2 linked regions of the Cricetulus griseus genome follow. The main gene of each other region encodes a partner of the protein of the gene in region 2 in a complex. Links are inferred from orthologs where the notes say so. Each region holds a gene or a part of one and is shown on either strand. Other genes may lie near its edges.

Region 1 (14,862 bases), on a different chromosome or scaffold from region 2:
TTTGCAAGCAAGAATAATTGCTCAGAACTGTCAGGGATGGTACAAAGTTTGCAGCCTTCTGGTAATGCCCAGAAGCCTATGGGGAACAACTTAGCCAGCTCTCCGCTCTGTTCTCTCAATCAGGAAAGAAAGGAGATAATATTTAAAAGTCTGATATGGAACCCACCTTAAAATCTGTCAAGAAGGGAAAATCGAGGCCTTTCCTAATTCCTGCCAAGCATGGACCCAGGCCTTCAGGGCTAGGAGCAGCCTGACCTCCAAAAAGATGAGAACATGGGAGACCCTAGTTCCAACTCCCATGAGCTTGAAGATTCTCTGCAGCAATGACTCTCTATCCCACTAGGTGTCACCCTCTCCTCGCCATAGGTAGAAATGTCATCTTTACTACCGATAGCTTTCTTTAGATTGTTCTGTGTAAAACACATTTTATTTTTACTCACCGGACATTTCCATAGACTAGAAGTACATGTGACTCATCCTGAGAGCATGTCACCTTCCTGATGAGCCAATGTTGTATCTCCCATACTTTCATCCTTCACAGCGTGTGACTCCACAGACTCTTCATGGAGAAGATGAGATCATTGTTAGGATTTGCTAAAGAAAAAAAGCACTGTCTGCCATCTGAGCACTCTAGGCACAGCCAGATCCTGACTCCAGCCCGTGTCTGTCCTCCCACTGTGAACTTGATCCTCTGCTCAGTGGGAAAGGGTGTGCAGGAAGGGGACCTGGCCTTGGCTGTCAGTGTGACTTTTCCCTCTCTCTCAGCAAAATAAACTTCATTCATAACACCAGATAGACATTAGTCTAGAGAAGCGTGTTGTCTGCTTCACTTTAAGGGACATGTCTGACATCAAATGATGTCTTCTTTTCCATTTCAGAGAGAAGAAGCCAAAGCAACATGGTGGGGACCACGAGAACCTGATGAATGTGGTAAGCCTTGGTATGGCTGGCTGGCTGGCTGTCCACTGACACCTATCCAGGCATGTCGCTTCTGGCTTGTGACCCAAGTGAAGCTGGCATGTGGAAGTAAATGGAAATGAACAGTGGCTTCCTTCAGTCTACATGTACGGCTCGGGGCCGGTGTGCTTCACCAGTGCTCACAATGGCTTCTGAAGTAAAGGCTGTCACCAGACTGCCTGAAAGATAATACAGGGCTCCAGACTGCCGCAGGGAAGTCTTCTGTCCCCTCTGGTCTGAAAGGGCTGTCACACCAACAAAGCAGATGACTCACATAAGATTTACTGTCTCTCTGCTCTAGAGTGTACAGTACAGTCTAGAGTGTACATTCTTGGTGTTGTTACATTAGGTTCTTCCAGAGTTGGATCTGTTCCCAAGCTCAGTTCCTTAGTTCACACCCGCTTCTTGCCTCCACCTTCCCACGGCCTTCCCCTTTATCCCTCCTGTTACCTTTCTCTCTCTGAATGTCTGTCCTTAGGGCCAAGTCCCCTGCTTTCAAAAAGACACCAAACATATGAGACTAAAACTCACCTGACTCTAATATAACCTCATTCTTAAATAGTGTCATTTGTAGTGGCTCGGTTTTCAGATAAAGTTACGGCACCGGGGACTAAGATTTTGACATATATTTGGGAGGAAATACAACCATTCACCGGGGCCTGGGGCCCCCAGCTGAGTCTAGCCTTGCTGCCTTCCCAATCCTTGGCATTTGATGGAATCTCAGTGGGCCCAATAGACTCATGGATCCACCCACCTGCGTGAGGATCTGTCTGAGGGTGTCACATTTGTCTGTCCTTTGACTCAAGTTGTGCTCTTAGGTGGTAGTGAAGCCTCAGCAGCTGTACCCACAGGGCTACGTTGAGTCCCCCACCCCCACCCCCACCCCCACCCCCTGAGCCCCAGGGCAGTGCTAGGAGAGAAGTTGCTTCCTGCTCAGAGCAAGAAGAATCACATATGCATCAAACTCCATGGGATCCAGCATTATTTGCACCCAGCAGATATGTTCAGAGCCCATGCAAGAGGCACTGACTACCTGAACTCCCACTTCCCAATGTGCCTTGGCCCAAGCAGGCAGGAAGCTGCCAGGATTCCTGTCCTGGCTCCTAGACCCCAGGGCACTCTGTCTTCTGTGTGAGATCACTATCCTCACCCATCACAGCTGTCCTGACCCTCAGCATCTCCTATCCCTTGACTGATTTTTCTCACCATTTTCACATCTTATGTTGTCCCCACTTCTTTGTTCCCAGTTTCTCCATTCTCTCCCAATAGTTACTAGTGTGGTGGGGGAACACAGTAGAAGGATGGGTCCCTGTCTTTCTTCACCAACCACTTTCCTCGCAGCCAGTGGATAGTGAGTTGTGGCTGAGACGAGGCATGTACCTCTACCCTCATTTCCTCCTAGAATGAGGTTTCTAAGCTAAGGCTGGACCATTACTAATTGCACCACCTGGGAGCTGGTAGGAAGCCAGTGTTCCAGGGATGGAACCAAGCCTCCAAATTGCTCTGATGCAGGCACCAATGTGAATGCCATCATTCTTGATCTGTCCCTGCTGTTCTGACTGAGGTCAACAGCCTTTGGGAAGTGCAGTGGGTAAGCAGAGGAAGAAAGCTGAGTCTTCATTTTCTTCTTTACATAGGATCCCCTCCACATACGTTCATAACACGGCTGTGTCTCCAAGAGTGTGCAGTCACAAGGATGTATGCTTACACTGATAGCAAGGCCTGAACTCACACTGTTGCCCACTTAGCTCCTGCATTTCCTAAATCATTCACAGTTTGCAGATTTGTTTCTCATAGAAACTAAGGTGTGAAATAGTAGTTGAGACATGGATTATGGAAGTTTGGCCATGACAGGTTCTATGGGAGGCCTTCCCTTGATCCCCAGTCCTGTGCCCTAAGGACACTGTTTCTATAGTATGAACATCTAGATCATACAGTAGCAGATGTGAGCTGCATTGGCCCAATAGAGCAGACTTCCTAGACACTTGGACATTGCTGCACATCAAAGGCCATTTTCTGTGAGTTATTTGATTTCCCATCAGAGTCAGAAAGTTTGTGAGGCCAACTACCCAAGACTTCTGTGTAGAATACATCAGAATTTCCCATGTGATATCCTGGAACCTAGTCTGTGTCTTGGGCAGCAGAAGCTATGAATATGCCTATTTGGGTTGCTCTGTGTGAACAGTTGAGTGCTGGAAGAGGTGCTTCAAGGAGCAGTTTGTTTCTGCATGTCCCTTGTGACACCTCCACCTCCAACAGCTGTCCTGTTGTTCCTGGCACTGTCTACACACCACCATCATCCCAGAGACACACTCTCTTCCCAAGTGCCTATGTGTCTTTGAGGATAGGGAAGGTTTGCAAAGCAATTTTCCAGTAAATGATCATTTTAGTAACGCCTAAAGCCAGAGACTAGCTCTGAAATAGACTCAGAAAAATGCATGCCATTAAATACTGGGCTGGCCAGATTTAAGGTTCTTCTATCCAGATACAGCAGTGATACTTTGCTGTTTGTTTGGCAACACCTGTGTTACAAGGATGGTGTTGGTCCCTGTTAGTGACTGTTCTGACCCACACAAGAATTTGTGGTCTCCTTTTGCCTTGAGCTAAGGAAACACATGTACCTGTAGTCCACTTGGAACCCCAATGAGATGTGCTGCCTGGAGCCCTGGAAGAGTCCCAGTGCCCCTTCAGAGTCCAGAACCGCATCTTCAGAAATAAGCTTAGCAGTTCTCCATTGGTGAAAATGGTCCCCACTTGACACCTGAGTGTGGCTAAGTCTATGGAACTGGATAACTCACCTAATTTAATCCATTGATTCTCGGATTTGCTTTTGGCTGCTTTGATTTTAGGGTACCCAGCAGATTCTTACCCAAAATTGTGTTTGGATTTTTCAGCCTTCGGACAAGGAGATGTTCAGCCACTCTGCAACCAGTCTGACAACAGATGCACTGGCCAGCAGTGAGCAGAATGGGGTGCTCAGCAATGGTGACAGTAAGTTCTGCAGAGATGCCACCGTGGAACACTAGGTTTCCAGTCAGGTAGATCTCAGGGCTGAGTTGATGACTCAGTGGTCAAGAGCACTGCTGCTCTCCCAGAGGACTTGAGTTTGATTCCCAGCACCCACATGGCTGGCAGCTCACCACGGACTATTACTGCAGTTCCAGGGGATCCGATGCCCTCCCTCTTCTCGTCTCCACGGACACTAGGCATGCAAATGATGCACAAACATACATGCAGACAGAACACCATACATACACCCATAACAATGAATTCTTAGCCCCCTGGATCTAACATTCTTCAGGTTCCCATGGTCCCCACCGTGTTGTATTTCTTGTCTTGGTTTGTTGGTGGTGTTAGGGGTTCTGTTTTGTTGGTTAGGTTCAGGGCCTTAGGAGACCCTCCCAGCTGGTCCAATGTCTCTAATCTCCCTATAATGAGGTCCACTTGGGTAAGAACTTGTTGGTGATTTGAGCACCCTGAGAGAATTCTGTTCTGCTCACCTCGGGTCTCTACCTTGTTAACCGTCTCTGGCATCTAGCAAACACTCAGAATCCATGTGATAAGGACTTACTGCCATGGTCATGGTTACCATTTTAGAGGCAGTCTAAGGACATCCTGGTTGGACTTCTTATGTGAGGCAAGGATGTGAGCTGAGGCACACTGGAAACAAGGCACAGTCTGGCCTTTTGTGATCCTGGCCTAAAGGTTCATCATTGATGCTCAACTTCTGTTATGTCTGCCAAAGGAAAGTGACCTGTGAAGTGGGGCAGGGTGGGAAGATCACCTACTCCCTCCATAGAGGCAGAGGCCAATTAGACTACGGTAACAATGCCCCATTGTTAGTATCTTGCAGTCCCATGGGTTGTCAACTGTTTTCTGTACTGGGGGTGTAATCCAGGGCCTTATGTGTGCTAGACAAGCACTATCACTGTGTTACAGCCACAGCCTCCTTTACTTTTATTTGAGATAAGTTACCCAGCCTAGTCTTGAATTCAGTCTTCCTGCCTCAGCTTCTTTAAGCAGTTGGCCCCACCTGGACTGTCAAGCCCTCTGCCTATATGGGTAACAATAAGTAATGAAATGAACCATGAGTCAAAGTATAGCTAGCCCACATCATTTATTAATCTTGTACTGGGAAAGGTACAATGGATAGCTTCCCTTTCAATGCAATGGAATAGGAATATGCATTGACGTCACAGTTTGCAGCTGAGCATCAGATGAAAACGGGGTTGATGGTCTAACATAGTGGTCCCCTGCGCTGGTTATTAAGAGGTTGTCTAACACCCCCTCCCGCTTCAGTTCTTTCAGAAGACAGCACCTTGACCTGCATGCAGCATTATGAGGAAGTTCAGACCTCAGCTTCAGATCTTCTGGACTCCCAGGACAGCACAGGAAAGCCCAAGAGTCACCAGAGCCGAGAGCTGCCCAGGATCCCCCCTGAGAATGCCGTGGACGCGATGCTCACAGCCAGGGTTGTGGAGGCGGACTCGGGGCCCGGCATGGAGGGGCCCTACGAGGTGCTCAAGGATAGCTCCTCCCAGGAGAACATGGTGGAGGACTGCCTGTACGAAACTGTAAAGGAAATCAAGGAGGTGACGGACAAAGGCCAGAATGGCAAGTCCAAATCCACTTCTGCCTTGAAGGAGCTTCAGCGGCCCCACACAGAGGGCAAAGCCGACTTTGCGGAATATGCCTCTGTGGACAGGAACAAAAAGTGCCGCCAAAGCATGAACGCGGAGAGCATTCTGGGAACTTCCAGTGACCTGGAAGAGGAAGCCCCACCACCTGTTCCGGTTAAACTTCTGGATGAGAACGCAAACCTTCCAGAGAAAGGAGAGAGCGAGGTGGAAGAGCCAGCTCCAGAGGGGACCAGTGGACACAGCAAGGTGGGCTTTTGTCCTGATGAGAAGGTCTCAGGTCCTGGGAGATATATATAATACTAGCAGGTTCATGAAATGATGAGAAGTGACATGGGCTACTGTAAGCTGTGCTTGGCCTTTTCACCCTCTAAGTCTTAGATTGCTGAAGATTGATGTTTACAAAACATTTCTCTCTGAATTTCTCATTTGGGTAGTTCCCAACATTTATATTATATGTAATTAGACCAATATTATTGTCTTCATTTTGAAGACTAAGAACTAAGTAGGCAGGATTCTTTGCTGCACAGCTTCCCTCCTCTGTGTGTGTGGCTTCCTCGAGCAGCATGGTAACCTTGAAATTTTCTGAATCCCATAACCTAGAGTTCAGTGTCTGTCCTGATGGCAGGTGTCCAGATGGCAGGTGTCCCTGCTTGCAACTTATTGTGTATTTTCCTCCAAGTCAACTAACATGTCTTTTCCACTAGTGTATATGCAATATTTTTAAGTAATTTCTAAAAAGTCCAGTCAGCAGAGGTCTAAATTCCATCAGCAGTCCACAGCTTGTGGTGCTGATGGTGCGGGTATCTCACAGCAACTGAGCCATGGTGAGCCTCACACTGGATGTCCTCACCATTTAAGTGGGCCTGTTCTGCTTCTGTCTGTCAGCTACTGTAGATTCCTATTATCTACACAGAAAAAAATGCCAAATTATCTTCCAGTCCTAGCTTTACCTCCCACCCTTTGCAAGGAGGACTGCTGATGGTCACCCCTCTATGGCTACACTGGTTATAGTATGAAGTCATTCTTTGCACTAATCTGAATTTGTTCCAACTTTTTATGCTATCTTGAAATGAGTTGTTGTAAGCACCTTGAAAGTATTTACAAACATGTTCGTAAACTGCAGTACAGTCTAAAGCTTCCACCCTTCACATAACCAAAGACAAGGAAGCCAAGGTAAGCTTACACTGCCTACACTAGCTAAAGCTTCTTCTTAGTAAACATTTGGAAGACAAAAGGGTTGGTTTTCTATTGTTAACAAGCAGGTCTCCAGATTTCACATTAAAAACTGGAAATCCACATCTAAGATCAAATATCCTTCACATCGTAGAGTGAGTAATCCTCTCCCATGTAAATAATCCCAATTTTAAGTGAATTACGAACTTCAAATGTTTAATATTCAAAAAAGATTTTTTATGGAGTATCTACTACCTGCCATATGGTCTCCTAGATGTTATTCTCCAGTGAACAAAACATAAATGAATGAAAATCCCAGGTCATGTGGAATATATGCTTAAATGAGAAAGATAGATACAGATTAAAGGGAAAAAAAATAAGATTGGGAGTGAGTGGGGTGGGGAGAGAGTTGTTAGCTTCTGTCTCAATGTGAAGTTAATCTTTAGCAGAGTTAGGGAGTGACTGAGAAAGCTGTACAGGTGCTCTTCCGGCACCTGTTGATCTCTAGGAAGCCCCTAAGCTAGATCAGTGGCTGGTGTGTGCATGGAGAGCTGGGGTAGTGAGCAGAGATGGGTGAAGACGAGTGCAGTATGCAGACAGGTACCTGGGTGGGAACTTATGGCCTGGGTTTATTGTCTGCATGAAACCAGCAGAACACAACAGTGCTATCTATGCTTTGTAAGCTTTCCCCCACTCTAATAAGTAGAGCCAAGTAGGACAGAGGCAGCAGAAGTGATTAGCCAAGGGCTGAGTGAGGGCTGGCACAGTCAGTGGGCACAAGGAACCATATGAATCAAGATAGAGTATCCCAGGGGGATGTGAGCTGGGGCAGGCCTCAGCCCTCTGCATTTTAATAATGTGTCGCTAGAGATCAGGACTGTCCCCAATGCTGACACACCTTAGGGCAGCTGGGGATATGCATGGGCTAAGAGGGAAGGCTGGCACTGGAGTCACACAGTTTTAGAACGAGCAGCAAAACTGTTTAAAAACATGGGATTGGATGAGTGTGTACTAGGGCCAGGAGAGTCCCAAGAACAGGGATCTAGGGGTTGGGGGGCAGCAGGAGAAACCAAAATACGAACAAAAAACAGTGAAGAGGACAGGAGTTACTAGAGACTGGGTAGAAGAAGTATCTGGGAAGGAAGGGGACACCTGAGTTGACATAGAATAGTCATCATTCTGATGTGGCCATCATTTGGGACCAAGATGAATAGTTCCTCAGACCAGTGAAGGTGCAAACTCAGATGAAGTGGCTTCAAAGAGGAAAGTTACCCAAGGCTTTGCTGTATGGCAGTGAGAGAAGGATGGAACTGGCAGTACCCTTGTTTGTTCTGTTTTAGTGTCTAGTGTGCTTATGTATAGATGGATTAGCCCCACCAAGGGAGAAAATCTGGTGAAGGAGACAGAATAGGAGAGAGGCAGAATAGCACTCACATGCAGTGTGTACAGGATCCAGTGTGCAGGAGGGACGACTGGGAGCAAGACATGTCAAGCAAGTTCATGTATGGCAGCCAGGAGGGGACAGAAGGCCACCAGGGCTGCTGGGGCAGGGTAGAGTTCAGAGAAATATATTTGCATCTTTGAGTTTTCTCAGAGAATCCAGAAGCAAGGCCATCCTTCAGTGACTGAGATGGTGCTGTGGTGGGCAGGTGGGGACATGTTGAGTCTTTGGAGGAAGAGGAGACGATACCAAGTCAATGGGCCTGTAAAGAAGAGCAAATGCGGGATGTCTTCATGATGTGGCCTAAGACACAGAGCCACTCTGAGGGCCCAGCCATTGTCTCAGCAGCAGGGAAGGGACCTGAGCTTCCCTAGTTGTTATGATGACTGACTACAGATAGAGTAATACTTGGTGAAGCAGGAAGGAGAGATACCAGAGGGGCAGTGGAATAGACAGTTGCATCACAACTAAGTGTTGATGAATCACTGGAATCGGTATTAAAAAGAAGAGTTTGAATGACAAATGCTGGTCTGAAGGGGTTTCTAGGAGCTGGGGTGGTGGAGGACAGAGAGGGCCCAGGTAACTAAAGGCCTGGTGTGGTGAAGAGACACTGGGGATGGTGAAGTAGACTGTCAGTGTGGGAAAGAGAGGGTTGGGATGGGTATGACTTTTGTTGGAATCAAGAATTGAAATAAGAAGTATATTAGAATTAGTTAATAAGCCAGAGCCAAAGTCACAGAAGAACCAGGAGTGAAAATCATTGAGAAACAGGCAGGAGAGGAGGTTGTGAGATCTGTGGGTGTTTTTCCTGGTGACACCAGATACCAGCAGGTTCTCAGATGTGACATGCTGGCATGTTGTATAGAAGGGCCAGCTTTACTATCACCCTCCCCCACTACTGTCAGCCCTTCCTCAGTGATGATTAGGAACCAAAATGAGATGGTTTTTAAAATCACTGGCTTATTTCCACCTGTACATAGAACTATTAGAAGACCTCTGTATAGCAGCAATGTGGCTGGGTAGCCTTTAGTGTGCCAACAGCTGATGTAAGAGATACATAATTGCCTGTGGTCTGTAGAGATCACCCGAACACATTGGTATAGACATGGATGTATATGTGTAGAAGAAAGGTTAAACCATCGGCTTCAAACTGCTTTACTTTGATTTGCATTTTTTTTTTTGACAGAGATTTAGTTCCTTGTCATACAAGTCTCGGGAAGAAGACCCAACTCTTACAGAAGAGGAGGTAAGTTTCAATTCTTTACCAAAACAAAAAAAAAACAAAAACAAAAACAAAAAAAACCCGCCTTTTAAAAATAAAGACATCAGCGGGGTGGAGAGATGGTTTGGCAGCTAAGAGCATGTACTGCTCTTGCCTAGGAGTTCAGTTACCACAACCCACTCTGGGCAGCTCACACCCACCTGTCTCAACAGCTCCAAGGGATCCAGTGCCTCCCAGTACCTCTGAGAGCAGCCACAGCACCTGCACTCACACATGCACTTGCTTGCAAACTTTTTTTAAATAAAACTTATTAATAAAGGAACTTTAGTCTATAACCCTAGACACCATAAATCCAATGTGGTTGCAGATAGCTACAATCATGGCTTATGGGAGGTAGAAGCAAGAAGATCAGGAATTCAAGGCCAGCCTCATGAGATCTCTCTCTATATATAGATAGATAGATAGATAGATAGATAGATAGATAGATAGATAGATAGAGATATAGTTATAGATATAGATATATAGATATAGATATAGATATTTGTCACACACACACACACACACACACACTCACACTCTCATGGAGTGTTGTCTTAGTTAGGGCTTCTATTTCTGTGCTAAAACACTGTAACCACAAGCAATTTGGGGAGGAAAGGGTCTGTTTCAGCTTACAAGTCTCAGGTCATACTCCATCACTGAAGGAAGTTAGGGCAGAAACTTATAGGCAGAAACTGAAGCTGGGGCCATGGGGTAATGTACTGACTTGCTCCTCATAGCGTGCTTTCTTATACAATCCAGTGTCACGTGCAGGAGTAGGTTTTGCAGAGTGAAGGACACTAGGTAGGAGGAAGGGTTGTACAGACATGAAGAGGAGGAAGAACTAGGGTCAGAAAGGGGAAAGTGAGTTTTAGTCAACAGCTGAGGGTCCACCCTTGAAGGAAATCGGTGTTGGGATGAGTAGGAGGAGGGAATTTGATTCTACCTGAAAGATGGGGAAAATGTCCATGAGGAATGTTGGATGCTGGTTGCTTCAGGAAAGATTAATCAGGCTAAGATAACATGACTTGAAGCAACCAGTGAAAACAGATGGTGATTTTCCAAGAACCAGGATAAAAATTGAGGAGACTTTTAGTAGTGCCTTCCAAATGTAGAAGCCACGATTATGACACACATGGAACTAGGTTCAGACAGAGCGCCAGACACCGTCCCTACTCTAGCTGTACACTGCTGGAGTGGAATGCCCAGTGTGGGAACTTTGTCCTCGTGAAGACCACACACATAGGCAGAGAGCTCTTGAGTGCAGTGCTGGAAGATGAAGGCCCCTGCAAGTTCCTTTTCCTAAGGAAGGGAAACTTTCATCTATCTCTCTCCCCAGCTACACAAGGCAAAACCTAGGAGTCATCTTTGATTCTGGTTGCCTCCCTATCCCAGGTGCTGCGAGGTAGCCTTCTCATTCTCACGCCTCCATCTCTGGAGCACCCCTCACCAGCCCATGCACCCCCCTTCTACCAAGTCCCTTGTGAGTCCTTGGCCTCCCTCTAGTCAGCTTTCTACTAGCCACAGTAGCTCTATCTGGTCCCGTGAGAAACCCACAAAACTGGGTTTATAGAGTTAATCAAATATGAGTGATCTCTAGAAAAGAAGATAGTTTGATTATTCTCTAGTAAAATATTAGACATGGATGACATAATTGATGACATCTTTGTCATCAGTAACTCTGGGGCAGGGAGTGTTCATGAGTGCCAAGTTCGTAGCCTATCACCAAGAAGAGGAGGAAGGAATCAGCCCGCAGGTGGCATGTTCATTTCTCATTGTCCCCTAGATCTCAGCGATGTATTCCTCAGTGAATAAACCCGGACAGTCAGCACACAAACCTGGACAATCTCCGAAAGGACCAGAGTTTGCCTGCCCCTCCATGCAGGGACCCCCTCAGAGGTCACCCTCTTCCTGTAATGACCTCTATGCCACTGTGAAAGACTTCGACAAATCTCCCAACAGCATCAGCACACTCCCGCCAGCAAGGAGGTCCAGCGAGGAACCCGAGCCTGACTATGAGGCCATACAGACTCTAAACAGAGAGGAAGAGAAGGTCCCTCTGGAGACCAATGGCCACCTTGTCCCCAAGGAGAATGACTACGAGAGCATTGGGGACTTGCAGCAATGCAGAGATATCACCAGGCTCTAGAATCCCAGAAAGTAGTCCCCAAGAGCCTTGCACAGCAGGGGACAGCTCTGCCTGGGATAAGAAGACATCCATCTCAGGCTGCTTCAGTTAACTGAAGTCAAGTACAGGTTCACATCTGTTCCCCAGTTTCTGAAACAGTAAGGTACAGACTCACTTGTCATGGCAGGACCTCATGCTCACAAGAAACCTCTGGTGCATGTGACCACCACATGCCACAAGGAAGGCAGGCTGTGAGGGGAAGCTCCACCCACCAATGCTGAAATTCCATCTGCCTGGAATTTTGGTGTGGACCAGCCAGGGTTTTCTTCCTCACTCTCCTTTTCTTTGTCTGCTACTAGTGCTAAAATACCTGGCATTTCACCATGTGAGACCTCCCCATGTCTGTGGTTCATTCTAAGGACTGTCTCCCACAGGCTTGGCGCTAGTCTTCAGCTAGATATTATGATGGTGAGAAACAGGCACTGGTTCCCATTAGACCACCCCCTTCCCAGACCAGCTGTGTTGGTCCCTGGGAATGTGCACAGTGCAGGCTACTATGTTTGGGGTGGGGTGTCTCTGGGGTCTTTGCTCCTATTTTGACATGGCAGTCTTTTCACAAGGTACTTTAGACACTTTTTATATTTTTCTGTTCAAAATCTTCCCCCCCACAGTATTCAGACATTTGTCAAAGCTGTTTTGCATTCCCAGTGACTACTATGGTACTTCTGAAGTTGTTTAAACCCAGCGCTCTTCCTTCCAGAGCCTTAATGTTTAAGTTGGGACCTGGGCCACATGTGTGGATGGCAGCTGTGGTGTCTATCCCCAAAGGGCTGCGGACATTAATTTGTGTTTCCAGTGATCTCTGCTGCCCACATGTGTGACTTTCCTGTTATCTGATGGTAATCTAAGAGTAAAATGTAAACATTTATTTTATTATATAAATTTATAAGATGTTTTATGTTTCATGCCTAATTTCTAGAAAATGCCAGAAAATATATATTAACTATTTTGATTTTATGTACAATGATTTATACTCTCAATTTGAAAAGACACCATAAAGCACATAAGCTAGATAATTTTGAGTGATTTTTTTTCTTTTCTTTTCTCTAACAAGTAATGTAACATTGAAGATTTGTAAAGACTCAGCTCTCAAAAAGGTATTTGGGAGCTCAAGATCCCAAACTCTCAGACTGCTGGTGGCAAAAATGCAGTAGGCATAAAATAATCATGTCAACGGTTGTGATGGACACTACTGAAATAGTGTTGAAAACAGAACAAAATCTGACTTAGGAATTTTGAACTCCCTGAAAGTAGCAGACTTGCATTAAAGTCCATTGGCATCTTTAAGACATCAGTACTTGCCAATACAAATTGCCTGCTAGACTTTTTTCTTTCATATAACAAAAGTCTGAAGTAGCTCAGATTACAAATTCAGTCTGGTTTGAATTTAATCATCTCTCTAGATCTTCCAAGGCCAACATTGGAAAGCATGTTCACTTTTCACTGATTCAGACAAAGAGAGGCCGTTCCCCCTCCTGCCGTGACATCTGATTCTAATGACTTAATAATCATGCTGTTTTCCCTCCTTGTGACAAAGAGTGTGACTGAGAAGATGAAGTGACCGGTCAGCTGTGGCCTGTGTTTCCATCCCTGTTATTCACGAACTGTTTTTTGTCTCTGCTGTGTACCATGCTTGTGGAACTGTAAACTCAACTCTCTTAGGTGGTGTCAATCAGCCCAGTCCACCCATGAAGATGCCACATGGATAAGCATAACCACTGCCGATCAGAAGGTGACAAGCAGGGTACCCCTGGCCCCAGGAGCAGCAGAGGGCAAGGATCTTCTGCAAACACTGACTTCCACCACTATGTATTAATGAGTTTGACCCAGGTCACAGGGGTCCCTTTAGCACATGGTGCTACCCATGACACAGCACTCCCAGCCTTGTGCTTGCCACAGTGCCATTCTTCACGGGCACCTAACACCTCCGAAGTTTGATTGTGTTTTATAAAAAGTTTTAACTTAGCAGGGAAGCTGGGATGAGTGCAGGAGTATAAAACTCTTTAGAGACAAGTTCATTATAAATAATCATGTCGTTTTGAAACCTTGTTGTCAAAATGTCCCCAGAGTTTTCAAATATAGTATGCAGCATAGTCATAAAATATGCACTGAAATCGCTCTCCTGGCTTGAGAACCAGTGAACAAGTTGTGACAGATGATATCTTGAGTACTTTACAAGGAACTGGAAGGCCCTCCGACACAAATTCCAGAAGAATAAGCAATAGCTTGTGAGGACTGGAGGAGGAGCGGGGAAGGAAAACAGCTTGCTCAGCTGAGCTTCAGGTACATAATTATTGTATATTGGTGTGTTGTCATTGTTTAACTTGATTATCCAGGGTTCTTTCATTTTATTTCATTTTGTTATAACTTTTTACTCATTTACTTGGTTCAAAATCTATGTTCCTGTCTGAGCTGGACAGAGCCTGTGGTTTGTTTTAAAGTCTTAACCTAAATGTGACAGAGTTTAAATGTATGAAAGGAATAATCAAAGCAGACTGCACCGTATACAGAAACATTCACCGCTGGCATCCACAGTGTGCATCCAGTCATATCCAGCCCATGTGGAATTATCCACAAAGAGAAAAATAAATCACCTGGCATCTGCAGTGTGCCTCATACCCAGCTCGTGTGAAACTATCCACAAAGAGAACAATAAATCATAAGGCTTTTCTCTTTAAGTCAGAATTATAATTCTATCTAGATTAGAAGTAGTTGTTTCCTTTTCCTTAAATACCTTTAAAAGTCTGAAAGCATTTAATGCTCCTTTACATACTTCCCAAATGTAAATCATGAGAAAAGCATAGACTGTCTTCCGTGAAATGTTCAAGAAATTCTAAATGAAAGTCATTTTTATAAATATGTTGGCTGCATAGTTTTGACTTAACCTTATCTAAATCATACCATTAAGTCTGTAAAACTTCTAAATAATACCAATAATCTTTGTGAGAAAAAGTTTCATGATTGTTCTACAGTAAATTCAACAGAATTGGATTCTCCCACAGTAAATTCTAATTAAATGCTAAATAGCAATAGGCCATCAACACATAACTAAAATCTCACCCAGCATGCCAGGGTGCTGCTCTTACTTGATTTTCACCTGTATGATTAGAACATTCCCTGTCTTCACATGTGATAAACTATATGTATACGTGTGTATGTATGTACATATGTATGTCTTGTGTGTTGCTGGCACAGCCCTGACACT
Region 2 (15,640 bases):
CCCACCCCAACTCCTACTATGCCTTCTCAGTAGCTTGTCTTTCCCTCAGAACTTAGATGCTACCCAATGTTCTTCCCTCAGACAACCAAACTTGCTGAAGCCTCTGAACTCCCACTCCCTCTGCCCCCATCCCCTCTCCTTCCAGTCAGATACATTTTCCTGGTATGGGCCTGGCCAAACACAGAAGTTACTAGGGCAGTTTCCTTGGACCTGGGGGCAAAAACAGTGTCCATCTCCATGCCCTCTGGGAGGCAGGTCCCAGTGGCTTCCACCTGTAGAAGACCTCTGCCTGGACCTCAGTAACATTCCCTCCCTGCTCCCTCCTAATCTCAATGCCTTGCAGAAGCAATTTTTAATTTTTTAAAAGATGGTGTCTCAACAAGTAGCCCAGGTTGGCCTCTATCTAACTCATAATCTTCCTGCCTCAAGAGTGCTGGGTTTGTAGGCATGTGAACAACTTCTTGACCTGTTCTTGAGTGCTGGGTTTGCAGGTGTGTGAACTTCTTCCTGACCTGTTCTTAGAGCCCCCCTCGGCTTCATCTTTGCCCTTTCCTACCATATGGACCTCATCCTTTAGGTTCAATCCATTCACGACAGCTCTCAGTTTCCTTCTCCAGCCTATGCTTTATCAATCCCCCACCTCTTGGCAGTTTCAAAAGCACTCAACTCAGAATGCTTGAGCTCAGTAGAACCTGTGATGGTCTCTTCTGGTCCTCTCTGTTGGTAGCTGCCTAGCTCACACACACACCCATCAGGGAGAGTCAGAGGCGTCTGGCTTCTCCCTTTCCTTCCCTGTGGAGCATGCTGACCCCATTGCTAAGTTTTACTGATACATCGACTACCTCTTATCATCTTTACTCTATTCTCACACTTCCCCACTGGGACCTGGGGTGATTACTTTAGAATGGCATTACTTGACATGTCTCTGATGCCCCAAACATGTCACTGAATTACAGTAACTCTTGCCTTGGTAAGAAACACATGTAGGCCACAACCTTCCCTACCTAGCCCCATCTCTTATCTCCTGGTGCTGTCCACTGGTTATTGTCACCCACCTTCTCAGAGCTCCTGGACAAGCCTCCCTTACTAGGGTCTCCTCTCCCTGGGGTGCTACTAGCCCCACCTATGTTTGCACCCATCCTGAACTCAGCATGGATGCCACTTCTTGATCTATGATACTCTCCTGTTGGGTGTTCCTTTACAACAGAAGAGCCTGTCATTATCTGTGTGTAACTAACTGTCCTCTCAACCATGAACTCCACAGGGTCCACTCTGCTACCTGCCAGAAGCATCCAGCAGTCTACCCTCAGCAGGTATTTGGACATTTGCAGTTGAATGACTAATCTGTCTGCTTTTCACAAAAATCAGCCTGAAGGGTGTGCAAAGGGCAGCTTAGTGGGGAAAGTTGTTGCATTGGGAGGGACTGGAACACAGTGGGCCTGGGGAGGTACACAGAAGACATGCTTCAAGCCAAAACTCGTTGGTCTAAGGTCCTGCAGGCTGGAGGAGGAGGGCCAGGACCATGATGGGATAAGGGGAACCTCCCTACTTATCTCTACTGAATCAAGTCTCTCCTACCCACCAGGGTTCTACCGCCCTTGCACAACTTGGGGGGAAGAAAAGCCCAAGCTGGTTCTCATTCTCCATTTGTCTACCCCAGTTGGGGCATAAGGAAGGTGCCTGAATCCATGCAAAGCCCAGGAAAGCCAGGGCTTGGCACACAGTAGGGTGAGGAAAAGCAAAGCTGTCACATGTTAGATGAAATGTGAGAATCCCCAGCAGCTCCCCTTCCGTCACCCTTGAGGTCAGTATCTTCTGAGGCTCTTTATCTGGGCTCTTGCCCCAGGGCCACATCCCCATCTGGGCAGGCCTGGACTTCCAATTCTTTGTGCTTCCGGCCTGGACAGCATGGCAGGAGAAGCAGCCAGAATTCCCAGGCAGCATCCCATGGACTGGTCTCAGAGCCCAAGGCTGCCCAGGTGCTGGGCTCAGGTGGTAGCTGATAGGAATGGACAGGCGGTGAGCACTCCCCCATGGGCAGACACAGGACACTGGCTCGTGCAGCTGACACAAAGAGGCGGCTACATCTTCTAGCCATGCTTCCCTCTCAGCCCCACTCACAGAGACAGGGGGGATGGACAAGATGGCATGGGAAGACGACTGTGCAGACAGGAAGGCTCGGCGGAGAAAGCGCCGAGGCTGGGTGGCGGTGTCCTCATGGGAGTGGTTTATTACGATTCCAACTCACAAGGCGGTGGGTGAGCGGCCACAGCACAGACGCCTGCCTCGGGCACATGCAAACAGTGCAACATGGTCAAGCGCAAACAGAGGCGACCGAGGCAACACTGGACATGGAACACGGGATGGGGAACAGGCTGGGGTGATCGGTCCCTAGAGAGAGGCTGATTCCTCCCCGACCCCCAGGGGCAGGACAGGAAAAATAAGATTCGTACTTCTTGTAAAATGCCCATTTGCTGGGTACTTTCTTTCTCCTTATGTTGAAAAATAATAAAAAATAAACACACGGAAAAAAATCTCAAAAAAGGAAAGGAATAAAACTCTAAGAAGGCGAGTGATGGGAGGCCAAGAGAAGGCTGACCACAGTGGGGGCACTGCCTCCCGCTCCTTGTCCTCCTCCCTCCTTAGCCCCTTCAGTGAGTGCCCCAAGCCCTATAGGTGGGTGGGTCCATAAGAGATGCCAGGCCTAGGTGGGGTCCCTGGGGGGCCAGAAGGGACAGGCAGGTCAGAGGCAGGAGGCCTACCAGCCCACTGGGGCTCAGTTCAAGTTCAGGCCCAGTGGGCAGCAGGCACCAGATCTGTGATCTTCTAGGCCTTGTCCTTACAGGCCCAGGGCCTAGGCGGAGGCAGAGGTCACAGGTGCAGCTCATGGGTTCTGATGTGCTCCAGCTGCTCTCGAAGCTGCAGGAAGGTGGGCCGTGTGGCAGCATCCAGGTGCCAGCAGTTCTTCATAACCTCGTAGACTGCGGGCGGGCAGCCGTCCGGGGCATCCATCTTATAGCCCTTTTCCACCCGAGGGACGACGTCCTTCAGGGGCTGTGAGCAGGTGGCATGAGTTTGGTGCCTTACAAGAGAAGGGAGCCCTACCCACATTCCCTCTCTAGGAAGGGCCTTCAGCCCTGCCTCAGGCCGGACAGACCCGAGGTACGAGGCAGTTACCAATGGATGCTACTCTTGCCACCCGCCATCACTTTCAGCAACGCACTGGCTCCCAGACCCATACTCACAATTCTTGGGTAAGGCACTCGCCCAAAGGAATAGATTTCCCAGAGAAGGATTCCGAAACTCCACACATCAGACTTGGTGGAAAATTTCTGCCATGTGCATAAGATAATCAGCCTTGATTTTAGGAAGCTCAGGAGAGGGGATAATGACTCTAGGACCCTTGCTCACCTTCTCTCTCAAGGCTTCCGGAGCTGTCCACTTGACGGGCAGTTTGCCTGTGTCCTGAGTGCTGGAGGCTTCCTTGGTGAGGCCAAAGTCACTGACTTTGGCCACGTTGTCCTCGGACACCAGCACATTCCGGGCAGCCAAGTCCCGATGTACAAAATTGTTGCCTTCCAGGTATTCCATGGCCTCACAGACGTCTCTGAGGACAGGACAGCCACATGCCCCTCAGACTGGGGCTCCCATAGCAGGGCAGGGGTCTCCTTCAAGTTCTTAGTCCCACCCCAGGCTGCATCACTCACAGTGAGAATTTGAGGAGACAGTCTCCGCCTAGCACCGAACGACCACGTGATCGAAGATAGTCCACCAAACTCCCCTGGGGGGGCAGGGCAGAAAGGGACGTGAGGAAAGGGAACAGGGGACATCCAGAACACTTAGGAAACAGTGGCTTGGAGAGGGCACGACTTGTCCCTCAGTAAGTAAGTGACTGGCCAGGATTGGCAACTTCAAAGCTCAGTGGGGACAAAGTGGAGGGGCTGGGAGGAGGGAGAGGTGAGGCTGAGGAGAACCCACCTTGGCCATGTACTCTGTGACAATGTAGAGCCCACCCTTCTCCTCCACAATCACACCCAGTAGCTGGACCAGGTTGCTGTGCCGAAGTTGCCTGGACAAGGCGGGACAGAGTAGTCAGCCAGAGTTCAGAGTTCAGTCAGCCAGCCTCCCCCGTTCCACCCAGGCCCCAGGCAACCTGCCCTTATGCTTGTCTCAACTTACGTCATGACAGAGGCTTCAGCCAGGAAGGCCTGGGCAGTGGCATCATTCTTAATGCATTTAACTGCAACTTTGTTGCCCCGATAATCACCCAGCATCACGTCTGGAGGAAGAAGGGAGGGATGCGGTTTCCTGGACACCCGAAGCTTCTCAGACCCTCCCGGGGCTCCCTCAACTTACCTCCAAACTCCCCCTTCCCAATCGTCTGTAGCAGCTTCAGTTCCTTCATGTTCAGGGCCCAGCCACCTGTGGGGTGGGGGCAGAAAAGCAGTGTGTCAGTGAGGTGAACAGAGAGTTGAGGCCGTTTGAGATGGCAGGCACAGGCCAAACTGCTTTAGATGTGGGATGTCTGATGTCTCCAAACCACCAGGGTAGGCCAGTGGAAATGTAGTTAGTGTACTTACTGCGGTAGAATTCATCTTGGGCGGCCACTGTGCCCTCCATGACCTTTGGTTTGATGAGGCGAGTGCAGAGTCCATCGGCATCTGTGGTGTAGTGCTGCAGAGAGAGGGGGAGGGCAGGCCCTCAGAACCAGACCCGCTGGCCCCATTTTTCATAGACTCACGGGCTGCTCAGGTCTGACCACCAGGGGGCAGCAGAGGCCAGTTCACGAAGCCTCCAGCTGCTTTGTGTGAAAGGTTCCTCATTTCAAAAGGGTGGGAATGCCTGTCCATTTCCTGTGTCACCCCACCCACATCAGCTACTGGACTCCCAATTGTCACTACTGCTGTGGGCCTGACCAGCATCTTAAGGTAAACAGCAAAGCCTGGCCTGCTCCCTGCACCAGCCTCCAGCCAGGTGTCCTCGGCCAATGTAAACCAGAGACAGGATGAGAGTGAGCTTGGAGGGAACCTACAGTTTTCTGTTGCCAAGTATGGCCTGGTCAGAGCTGACAGAGCTGGTGTCGGAAGCTGCAAGGACCTGTGGGTGTGCAAAGGCCTGAAGGACCCTGGTGGCCAGGGCACACACACGAGGAGGTTCGAGTGGAAGAGGAATTGAGTTCTGGATCAGATAGCCTCAAAGTCTAGTGGCACCTCCAACGTACAGAGAGAGGAGAGACTTTCACTGATCAGAACTTTGTGTCCTTATCTATAAAACGGGCCCTTGTTGGGGTACTATGGGCCCTGGCACATAGCAGGTGCTCCACTGGGGTGTGCTGTCAACGTGTCCAGGTTACTCTGCCAGGTGACTTGGTGCTGGGTTTGTGTGAAATGTCCTCAGGTGGACTCAGGTGTGTCTGAGTGTGGGCAGAAGGGGGAGCACCCCTACTCACCTCCACCAGCTGCATGAGGTTCTCGAAGTACACCTCCTCATCGATGCTCAACTTGCTCGCATGGTACATGATGCGGTAGTGTTCCACCTTGCCTTCACAGCTCACACACAGTGTGTAGTCCCCAGGGTAGTTGGTGCTTTCCCTCACCAGGAACAGGCCCGTCTCTGGTGGGTAGAGAAGCCGCTCGGCCTGCTCCCGTGTGATTTTGCCATGGAACCAGCTAGGGGGTGGCAAGGCTGGGGGTCACAATGGCACTGACCCCAGTGCCTCCTGCCAGCCCCCCACATGCGCTTTCCCACTGCTTCCAATCAGCCAGGGCACCATCTTCTCCCTGTCCCCTTTTCTTCTGCTGGGTGCCTATTCCCTCTGTTAGGTGCAACCTCTTGTTCCATTCCTACAACGCCTCTTACTCAGGGTTGTTTTCCTCTCTTCTCCCCAAACCAGGAGACTCCAGCCCTCCTCCTGGTACTCACGGCATAAGGCTGAGTTTGGTGCCTGCCTTCACACCCTCACGCTTCTGGACATAGTTGGCTGGGATGATGCCCTCACGGCCCACTTTGTTTTTGGCTTTGTACCAGTTTGGGTCCTGGAGAGAGGGCAACCAGACACACTCTCAGGTCTACCTCCCTCTGCTGGGGAGCCAAACCCAGAGGGAATCCCTGGAGGTGAAAGAATGGGATAGGCATCTAAGGTCCACAGTACCTTAGTGACCGCCACAATGGTGAGCACGTCTCCTTTGCAGAAGGGCAGGTCTTGCTCAGCAGTGCCATGGAAGTTGTACTTGGCAATACATTCTGTACCGGATGGCCAGGCGGCCTACAAGGTAAGGGACAGGTATGGGGGTGCTGCCTGGGGCCCTTCTCTACCCCTCTGCCCGAATGCCCTTGAGACCAAAGCATCTTAGCTGATATCCATGAGTTTGGGGTAAGAGAATGCCCAGTCCCTTCCAGCTCAAATTGCTCTGCAGCCCAGTCTGGGGCCCTGTGCCCAATAGAGCACACTGGAATTACCGTTGCTTCAAAGTCTTGACTAGCATGGAGGGTTGGGAATGGGGAATAGGCTGGTCTAAGCACCCACTCTTTTTCCAGATGTGGGATTGCCTCATCTGTCCCCACCACAACCCCATGGTACCTGTATTGCCGACATCTTCTTAGATCTGGCGTCCCCGTGCTACAGGAAGGCCAATCCGTTACTTGGTACCATTAGAGCTGTGGGAGAGGAGACAAGCTGAGGAAGGCTGAGAAGAGACGACCCCACCCTCTGTGGGTGATCATCAGTTCCTTCAAGGCAGTACAAGCCACAGTGCCAAAGCTTCTGAGAGTTGGTACATGGATCCAGGGCTGCCCCCCCCCCCCAATAGGGTTTCTCTGAATTGTTTTGGAGTCTGTCCTGGAACTTGCTCTGTAGACCAGGATGGCCTCAAACTCACAGAGATCCGCCTGCCCCTGCCTCCCGAGTGCAGTGATTAAAGGCATGCACCACCAACGCCCGGCTCCAGGGCTGTTCTATCTAGCCTTGGGTAGAAGCACACAGACTCAAGAGTCCCAGGGAGGCCTTGAGGATTGTCAGGGAAAGGGAGTCTAGGGAAACTCTGAAACCAGGCAGGTGATGAGTGGTCCAGGAAAGTCACTTGTTAGACAAGGTCACAGGCTTGTCCCAGAGACTGTATAGACAAATATCTGTGCTTATTTCTTGGCACACACCCAAAAGAAAGTAGCCCATGTCCTCCAGGAGAGGGGTAGGTGCTCTCTCATGGTGTGCTCTGTAGTAAATCTCAGACCAAGAGCTAACTGCCCAGGTACTGAAAATGAAGTGGATAAAATAGGGAGAAGTCACAAGATGGAATTCCATACAGCGGTGGCATGGCCCATGTCAGCCACCTATCAGCCTTGGATTCTCACCAAGGAGCTAGGCACAGAGAAGCACAAGCTTTGTGATTCTCTTTGTATCAAGTTTAAAACTGGATCAAACCAATCCAGGCTTGTCAGGATGAATCTCTGCAGAGGAAAGAACTGGACAGGGTGTGAGGGGGCTTCAAGGTGTCAGCTATGGGGGCTGTCTGAGCCCCCTTGCAAGAGAGGGTTTGCTCCAGAGAAACTTGCTGGGTGTAGCCTGAGAGCTGGTGCTCTTCTGGATTTATGTGCACTTTTGTAAATGGAATTCCTCAGAACACTCCCCCAGAGCAGCAAGCATGTCTTCACACACACACACACACACACACACATATATGTCACCAACACATTCAGTCCAAATACAGCCCCAGACCTCAGATAACCTCAGAAGGACTCAGGCAGAGTGGGGCTACTGTTCTCTTTCTGGTGAGGGAACAGCCAATGGCCTTTCTGTGGTCACAGGGCTAGATGACAGATGCACTTGGGATGGGAGAGGTGAGGTCTAGCCATTGCACTTATGGCGGCTATGTACACCACTGCTAGAAGAGGACTTTCAGTGTAGGTGCTGGTACATGTGTGTGCATGTGCATGCATACCTGCACGTACACATATATGCAGGAATCATGAGAACTGAGCCCTGAACACTGGAAGACTTCAGAAGGTGGGAGCCAGAGATTGATCTTAGTGGATAGTAGTTGCTCAGAGTGCTCAAGACTCTGGGTTCAAACCCTAGCATAAGGTGTCTATGTTTCAAATTCATGAGCAATTGAGCAAATAAAAATTGATATAAAAAGATATTTATTAGAAAAGCAGATGGTAGATAGTGAGGCAGAGGGATGCCTAGTTGGAGGCCAGCCTGAGCTACATGGTTAAGACCTTGTTTTTAAAAGAGGATGGGCCAGAAAAAGGATCATAGAAAAGCTTAGTTTATTAGCCAGTCCTAGCCAAGGTGTTGGAGTAGAAGGTAGGCACAGCTGCAAGAACTGGTCTGGGGAGCTGGAGAGATGGCTCAGTGGTTAAGAGCATTGGCTGCTCTTCCAGAAGACCTGGGTTTCAATTCCCAGAACCCACATAGCAGCTCAAACTGTAATTCCAGTTCTAGGGGTACTGACACCCTCACACAGACACATGCACACAAAACATCAATGGGCATAAAAATTAAAAAAATAAGAACCGGCCTGAGTGGAAGCTAGTGAAGCAAAGTGGAACCAACTGCCCCTTTGGGACTCTGTGACCCTGAACTTGCTGAGCCCATACAGAGCACTCTTGTCTGTCTGCTATATGAGAAGGGTTCCAGAGGCCATGGTATGAACCCTGCAGGGTGGCAAGGAGATCCCATGGAACTTCGGAGGACTACGGTTGGCCCCTGGGAACCTTTTCGGGGAGCACATGCTCCCAGAGTTCAGCAGAAGCAAGGGTGAAGGATATGTGCTGGTAATAGGGGGGTGGTGGTGTTTGACCAGCACTCCCAAGCTAGACAGACTTGGGCTTTGAACCTGGCTTTATCAGCATGCCAACCTGGAGAGAATGAACCAACTCTTTGGGCCTCATATCCCCTCGTCCTGAAAGGGGACACACTGGACCTTGACAAGGAGGCTATGGAGGGAATGGAATGAGACCCCAGAATTGGACAAGTCTGGCATGCTTCCTGCTCCCTCCAGAACAAATAGTCCTTCTTGCACCCAGAGGCAAGGGCAGCCCATTAAGCCTGCTGTCTAGACTGGGCCCCTGAAGCCCAGGGAGAGTGTGATAGGAACCACCCCCTCACACCCCATATTTCCATGACTGAGCCAGCATAAGCATAAGAACCAGCTCCTGGGCCTTGTGGACTACCTGCTGTGGGAGAGCTGTGAGACTTCCTTCCCTGTGACAGGAGTGAAAACCAAGGTCCAAGAGGTTACCCAAGACCACACAGCCTGCCTGAGTGTGAGCTAGTGTCCCACTGCTGCTGCTGAGCCCCCAACCTTAGGGCCCTTCTATGGAGATCATATTAGCTCACCCGCTCTTCACACCTCCTCCTCCCTCCCCAAATTCAAAACTCACTGCTGCCACCACAGGAGGGAGCGGAGGCTGGGCATGGTTAGTCACCCTTCCAGCTGTCAGTTTGCAAACACTCCTTCCTGGCCTGCAGCTGCCGCCGTGCCACCTCCCTGCTGCCTTGATGATAATAATAAAAATAATCACAGGCCCTGTTTTCTGAGCACTTACTCAGTGGCAGGACTTATCCTTGGCTCATCCAATCCTAATGACACTGAGAAACGGGCTATTATTACCAACCCCATTATACAGATGAGGCCCCAAGAGAAGCCCTGAGGACTGTGAGACCTTGCCTGAGGTCACAGCTCCAGTGAGATTCACCTTCAGACTCCTGAGTTCCTTGGCCAGGACTCCCTCCTGGTAGCCTGTTTCTCACATACCACATTATATCCCCAGGAACTGCTGTCTGTCTGGGACTACTCTAGTCTGGGGCAGATAGGGTGAAGAGCAGCCACAGGGACAAGGATGTGCTTAAGGGGATGGGACAAGGCAGCAATGGTCAGGTATGCTGCCTAGAGGGGCACTGCTGTCCTCGAAGCATGTCTTACCAGACACCTTCCAACCTGTCACTTACGGTGAGGTCACCAGGCTAGGATGGCTGAGCAGCTGCAGTGTCCCAGCTAGGGCTGAGGCTGACAGCCAGAGTGGCTTCAAGAGGCTACTTACTGCAGGCCACCTTCCAAGTAGCCAGGGAGTAAGCACAGAAGATAGTCCTTTGGGGGAATCACCTGAATTTAGGGCCAAGTCACTCTAGGAAGGCAGTGCAGGACCACAGTCCTGGGAGGAAATGACGCTGAGTCCTGGCCCTAACTTGCTGTGCAACCTTTGGGAAGTCACTGGAGCTTCCCATATGTTCTGGCTTCTAAGCACCTTATCTGTCCCTTTTTCTCACATCTATTCCCAGACACATGCACTCTGCTCACTTACTTGTCTTCTCCCTTCATCCAGGGAATCTTTGTGTAGCCTTGAGGTACAGATGGGGGCTGCTACTGTTGTACAAACAAAAGAGCAAAATACAATAGGAGCCCCTCTTTGTGGTGGCAAGAGATGGGGAGAGATTACACATCTGAAGCCAGACTGGGCTACACAGTGAGATCTTGTCTTAAAAAACAAAACATCTTTAATCCCAGCACTTGGGAGGCAGAGGCAGGCAGATCTGTGAGTTCCAGGGCAACCTTGTCTACAAAGCAAGTTCCAGGGCAGCCAGGGTTACACAGAGAAACACTGTCAAAATACCAAAATGAAAACAAACCAAATGAACAAACAGAAGGACCTAAAGAGACAGTTCAGTGAGTAAAGTGTTTGCTGTGAAGACCCGTGTTTGGTCCCAAGCACCCACATAAGTCCAACGTTGGTGGCACGTGCTTGTAACCCCAATGCTGGGAAGGCAGAGGCAGTGGTTGGCTTGCCTGCCTAACCTATCAAGCAAGTCCCAGGATGCAGTGAGAGACCCTACCTCAAGAACACAGTAAACAGCTCCTGAGGAATGACCCATGGTTGACCTCTGGCTTTCACATGTGTGCATACACGTGTACTCACACATGAACACAAACATAATTACATAACTCCCTACACACACACACACACACACACACACACACACACACACACACACACACACACTAAAAGACCAAACTCACCAGAGTAAGGGATAGGATGCCTAAAACTAGCCAAAGAGGTTAGTAAAGCAACTTGTGATGCACATGGCACCCTAGGTTCCAATCTCCCAGTGATGCAATAAAAACAAAACAAAACAAAGGAAGGCTGGCAAGATGGCTCAATGGTAAAGACACTTGCAGACAAACCTGACAGCTTGAGTTCCATGCTTGGAAGGAGAATGAACTCTACAAGTTGTTCTCTGACCCCCACAGGACATACACTGTGCCATGTTTGATGTGTGTGTGTGTGTGTACATGAGTACACACACACACACCAAAAAAAAAAAAAAAAAAAAAAAAAAATTAAACTAGCATTTGGGAGGCAGAGGCAGAGGCAGGAGGATCTCTGTGTGTTCCAGGATGGGCTCCAAAGCTACAGAGAAACCCTGTCTCAAAAAACAAAACAAGGGCTGGAGAGATGGCTCAGAGGTTAAGAGCACTGACTTCTCTTCCAGAGGTCCTGAGTTCAATTCCTAGCAACCACATGGTGGCTCACAACCATTTGTTATGAGATTTGGTGCCCTCTTCTGGAAGCAGAATGTTGTATACATAATAAATAAATAAAATCTTAAACAAAACAAAAAGAGGTAAATAGATGTGGCAAAATGTTAAGAACAGGTAAATATAGACAAAAGACCTATGAGTACCCAATATATTATTTCTACTTTTTGGTGATTTTGAAACAAAGCCAAAAAAGGCAAATGTAGATACAGGTGACTTACAGTGTACTGTCAGTTGTGGGTGAGGTTTTTGTTTTGCTTTATGACTGTTGTTATTTTTTAGATTTTTGTCTGTTTGCTTTTGTTTTTTGAGACAGGGTCTTTCTATGTAGTCCTGGCTATCCTAGAATTTGCCATGTAGACAAGGTTGGTATTCGACTTACTGAGATCCTCCTGCCTCTGCCTCCTGAGTGCTGGGATTAAAGGTGTGTACCACCACTGCCCAGCTGTTTTTAGATTTTTGATGCAGGTTCTTGCTATGTAGTCCAGACAGATTTCAAATTCCAAGATCATCTTGCCTTAGTCTCCGGGCCAGGATTATAGGCGCGCACCAGCACACCCAGATATAAACTGTTTTGCTTTAATTTTTTTTATTACACTTTATTTATTTGATGTGCATGTATATACATGTGGAAGTCAGAGGACAACTTGTGGAAATTGGTTCTCTCCTCCCACTGTGTGGGTCCTGGGTGGTCAAGCTTGGTGGAGGCATCTTAACCTGCAGCACCATTTCCCTGGCTCACAAGTTGTGTTTTACACAAATGAATACACATTCCTAAGCTTGGAGGTGCCTAAATAGTTTCTGAGAGACACAGAGAAGGCTGGAGAGATGGCTCAGCAGTTAAGAGCAATTGCAGCTCTTGCAGAGGACCTGGGTTCAGCTCTCAGCATCCACATGGCAGATCATAAATGTTTGTAACTTCAGTTCCAGGGAATTTGACACCCTCTCCTGAACTCCATGGGCACCAGGCATGCTCATGATTACACACATACATGCAAGCAAACACACACATAAAGTAAATAAATACACCCAAAAAGAGAGACAGACAAATAACAGAGGTGGCCCCTGGGATGGATCAAATTAAAGAAAACCTTGTTTACTCTGTATATATATTGAGACTCCTGCAGTCCAGACTAACCTCTAACTCACTATGTGAGCAAGGATGTCTTTAAATTTCTGAACCTCCTGTCTATCCAGGGCTTCAGGTGGGTCAGGAAAACACTACCTCCCTACTGAGCTACATCCCCAGCCCCTGGTTTTGTTTTAAAGATATAAACATCTATCTATATTACTTTCTCCCTAAAAATAAAATAAAAAATATACCACTTTTGAAAGCCACTCCCACCAGGAGTCCTTTGGTTCTTCAGCTGTGCTGGCTGGTCCGGATTCTCACACCACCCTCTCACACCACCGTGCTCCAGCAAAGGACCTCACTAGCAGTGACCTATGGTTGAGGGTGGAAGGGGAGCTTTGTGTCTGTGAAAGAGAGGAGCTAGGATCTGACTCATGTCTGCAACTCCAGCATGGGCTGGGCTGGGCGCTGCTTCTCAGTAATGAGTAATGAATGAATGAATGAATGAATGAATGAATGAATGAATGAATAGGAAAAGCCTGGCCAGTACAGCACATTAGGTCCTACAACCAATAGGACTATATTTAACCCCAAAGGCTCAGCAGCTGTCACCCACCCCCACAAGGCTAGAGGACAGGGGCTTGTGACTGTGGCAGGGCCAATGCTTCTCTCTGATTTCCTGCCCTAAACCCTGCTCCCAGCAGCCCTTGTGCTGGGGTCCCGGGAACAGGCTAGGCATTGTGCCCAAGCGCTGAGGTCAGTGCCTGCAGCCTCAGGCAGGCCTTTCTTAGGAGCCCAGGCTGTACAGGACAGGGCAAGAAGTGGGGGAAAATAGGAGCCCAGACACTCCAGACTGCCCTTTCCTTGCCCTAGAGGCAGCTGCAGACCCCCAGAACCAGGCACGTGCAGAGGGTTAGGGTAGGTCAAAAGATTCCAGCCCTGCCCCCTCACCAAAACTCTACTGCTTAATGGGGCGTGGGAGCCTTCAGAAACTGTTTACACGCAGCTAAAAATACCCACTGAAAAGGGAAGTGTACCAGAGACCTAGGGGGACTGGCGCTATGGCCCACAGAGACTCTGGTCCTGCTATAGGACACAGCTGGACTGTCTGCAGATGGACACACACACACACACACACACACACACACACACACACACACACACACACACACACACACAGAGAGAGAGAGAGAGAGAGAGAGAGAGAGAGAGAGAGAGAAAGAGAGAGAGAACCAGTGGTGGCAACAGGAAAGTCCTCTCTGCCTTCTCACTCTGCTGGGGTGTCTGGAGCCATCCTTTGCGCCTCACATCATACCTGGTGGACAGGATGAGCCAGAGTGGGAAAGGCTGAGGAGACCCTAGGCTTAGAAGTCTGAGAACTCAGCCTCTCCTCTGTGCTAAGCCTATACTGGGGTACTGAGAATTCCAACAAAACACACTCCAAACTCTTGTCTTCCTCAATCAGCCAGGTGTGCCCGTGTCTCAGAAAACCAAGGGTTGTGGCTATAACTTGGAGGTCAAGCATGTGCATCGCATGTTCTCCCAACCGCCCCCTTGGATTGCACTCCAGTGCCATAGGTACCCCCAAGTTTGCAGGAGGTGGTGAGGGGAACAGAAAGGACCTAGGAAAGGGGTGTCTAGTAGACCAGGCCAGCGTTAAGACCCTACATCGAATTCTGAGGGATTCAATCAAGGCTGCCAAAGGAAATTTCCTACAGGTCACAGAGCAGACAGGGCAAAGGTGAAGTTGCAGTCTTGGGCACACCCCCTGCAGTGGGCAGAGCACCTGAGGAGGGCAGCCTGCCAGTAGCTGAGCTGGTTTGGCAGCTAAAGTCAGCCCCACCCCTGGTTCTGCAGAGGGCTCTCAGGCAGATAGCACTGTCACCCAGGCACATACTAGGCAGAGGGCTGGAGGCCTCCCACTATCCCAGCAGTTCAGACAGGCCCTCAGCACCCCCACTACACAGAAGACCTGGGCAACAGGGGTGAGAAAGATGCCTGGCTTGGGCTCTGGGGCACGCTGCCCTACCCCCACCCTCCGGCTCCCTCAGCCTTTTAGCGCCTCTGACCTAAGAGGAGGCCTGAGTGTAATGACTGAAAAATGTTAAAGAACCAAATTATAGCAACTCACTGGGGCTCAGCGAGACCGGAAATCCTGTCTGGCAGTTTAGGAACAGTAGGGGTGAGTTAAGGGGAGGCTAACGGGGAGCCTCCTCCCCAGGGTACACTGTGGCTTGAGGCTGCCACTGCTGGCCCAGAAAGGTTTCTAATTACCACTCAGGAGCCTAATTACTTCTATGCACTGGGCCTCTGGGCTTCCAGGTCTCCCCAGGGTCCTACCCCAGGCCTCTGCCCCCCACTCCTCAGAGCAAGCACTGGGCCCTTGCATCTTCTTTTGCCCATATTTACATACCGCCTCCTCACTAACCTCCAACAGCCTTTAAAGTTATGCAGTGGCTTTGTTCCACACCCCAACGTCGCCCAGCCATGTTACAGGAGGGAGGGGAAACTGAGGTCCAGGGGAATACAATAATGCTATAGAAACTGGGGGCAGATTTCTAGTCTCCAGCACTTGTGGCAGAGGCTGGTGAATCTGAAGTCAGCATGGTCTACAAAGTGAGATCCTGCCTCGGAAAAACAAGCAAATGCAACCAAGGGACCTACAGAACAAGCAGGGGCAGAGTACACAGCTCAGGCTCAGCCACTGAGACAGCACCAGGGACAGACCTAGGGGAAGGGGCTCTCCGACACCCTCACCCCAGCAGGCCAACAGGAAACACAAGCATGTGGCTGGCAGCCTGCTGCTCCAACATGGTTTAAATGAGGCTCTGCATCAGCTACTCAATCCTCCCCTCCCTCTACCTGCTTCAGGCCTGGTAGATCCTTGCTAGACTGAAACAGGCTGAAACCACCTAGGGGCCACCAGCTTCCAAGGGCTGGACTAGGGACTTAAGCTTAGTGACACTGGAACCTGGGTCAGCAGACCTCCTCCCCAACTTTTCCTTGGCAGGATCATACCACACCCTGAAAG

What was found.
Region 1: the proteins of Csk (region 2) and Pag1 are in contact, whole or in part, in an NMR structure (PDB 2RSY), measured with the Rattus norvegicus proteins. The link is inferred for Cricetulus griseus from reciprocal best matches to the Homo sapiens genes CSK and PAG1. Residues at the interface, in NP_001025210.1 of Rattus norvegicus: Thr88, Arg89, Glu93, Arg107, Ser109, Thr110, Asn111, Tyr112, Thr117, Cys122, Glu123, Lys125, Val126, Glu127, His128, Tyr129, Arg130, Ile140, Asp141, Tyr156, Asp161, Gly162; in NP_071589.1 of Rattus norvegicus: Phe291, Ser292, Leu294, Tyr296, Lys297, Ser298, Arg299, Glu300, Glu301, Leu305, Ile310, Met313, Tyr314, Ser315, Ser316, Val317, Asn318, Lys319.

Annotation. Positions count from the first base shown.
Region 1 is NC_048595.1:138,154,798-138,169,659, forward strand, and holds part of Pag1 (phosphoprotein associated with glycosphingolipid-enriched microdomains 1), read left to right. Parts: intron 1-878; coding exon 879-930; intron 931-3,851; coding exon 3,852-3,948; intron 3,949-5,256; coding exon 5,257-5,843; intron 5,844-9,397; coding exon 9,398-9,457; intron 9,458-11,255; coding exon 11,256-11,618; 3' UTR 11,619-14,862. UniProt on the Homo sapiens protein: Negatively regulates TCR (T-cell antigen receptor)-mediated signaling in T-cells and FCER1 (high affinity immunoglobulin epsilon receptor)-mediated signaling in mast cells.
Region 2 is NC_048597.1:169,253,944-169,269,583, forward strand, and holds Csk (tyrosine-protein kinase CSK), read right to left. Parts: upstream 6,658-15,640; 5' UTR 6,596-6,657; coding exon 6,581-6,595; intron 6,266-6,580; coding exon 6,152-6,265; intron 6,036-6,151; coding exon 5,923-6,035; intron 5,670-5,922; coding exon 5,450-5,669; intron 4,675-5,449; coding exon 4,581-4,674; intron 4,423-4,580; coding exon 4,357-4,422; intron 4,280-4,356; coding exon 4,180-4,279; intron 4,070-4,179; coding exon 3,979-4,069; intron 3,782-3,978; coding exon 3,708-3,781; intron 3,608-3,707; coding exon 3,412-3,607; intron 3,333-3,411; coding exon 3,246-3,332; intron 3,055-3,245; coding exon 2,872-3,054; 3' UTR 2,205-2,871; downstream 1-2,204. UniProt on the Homo sapiens protein: Non-receptor tyrosine-protein kinase that plays an important role in the regulation of cell growth, differentiation, migration and immune response.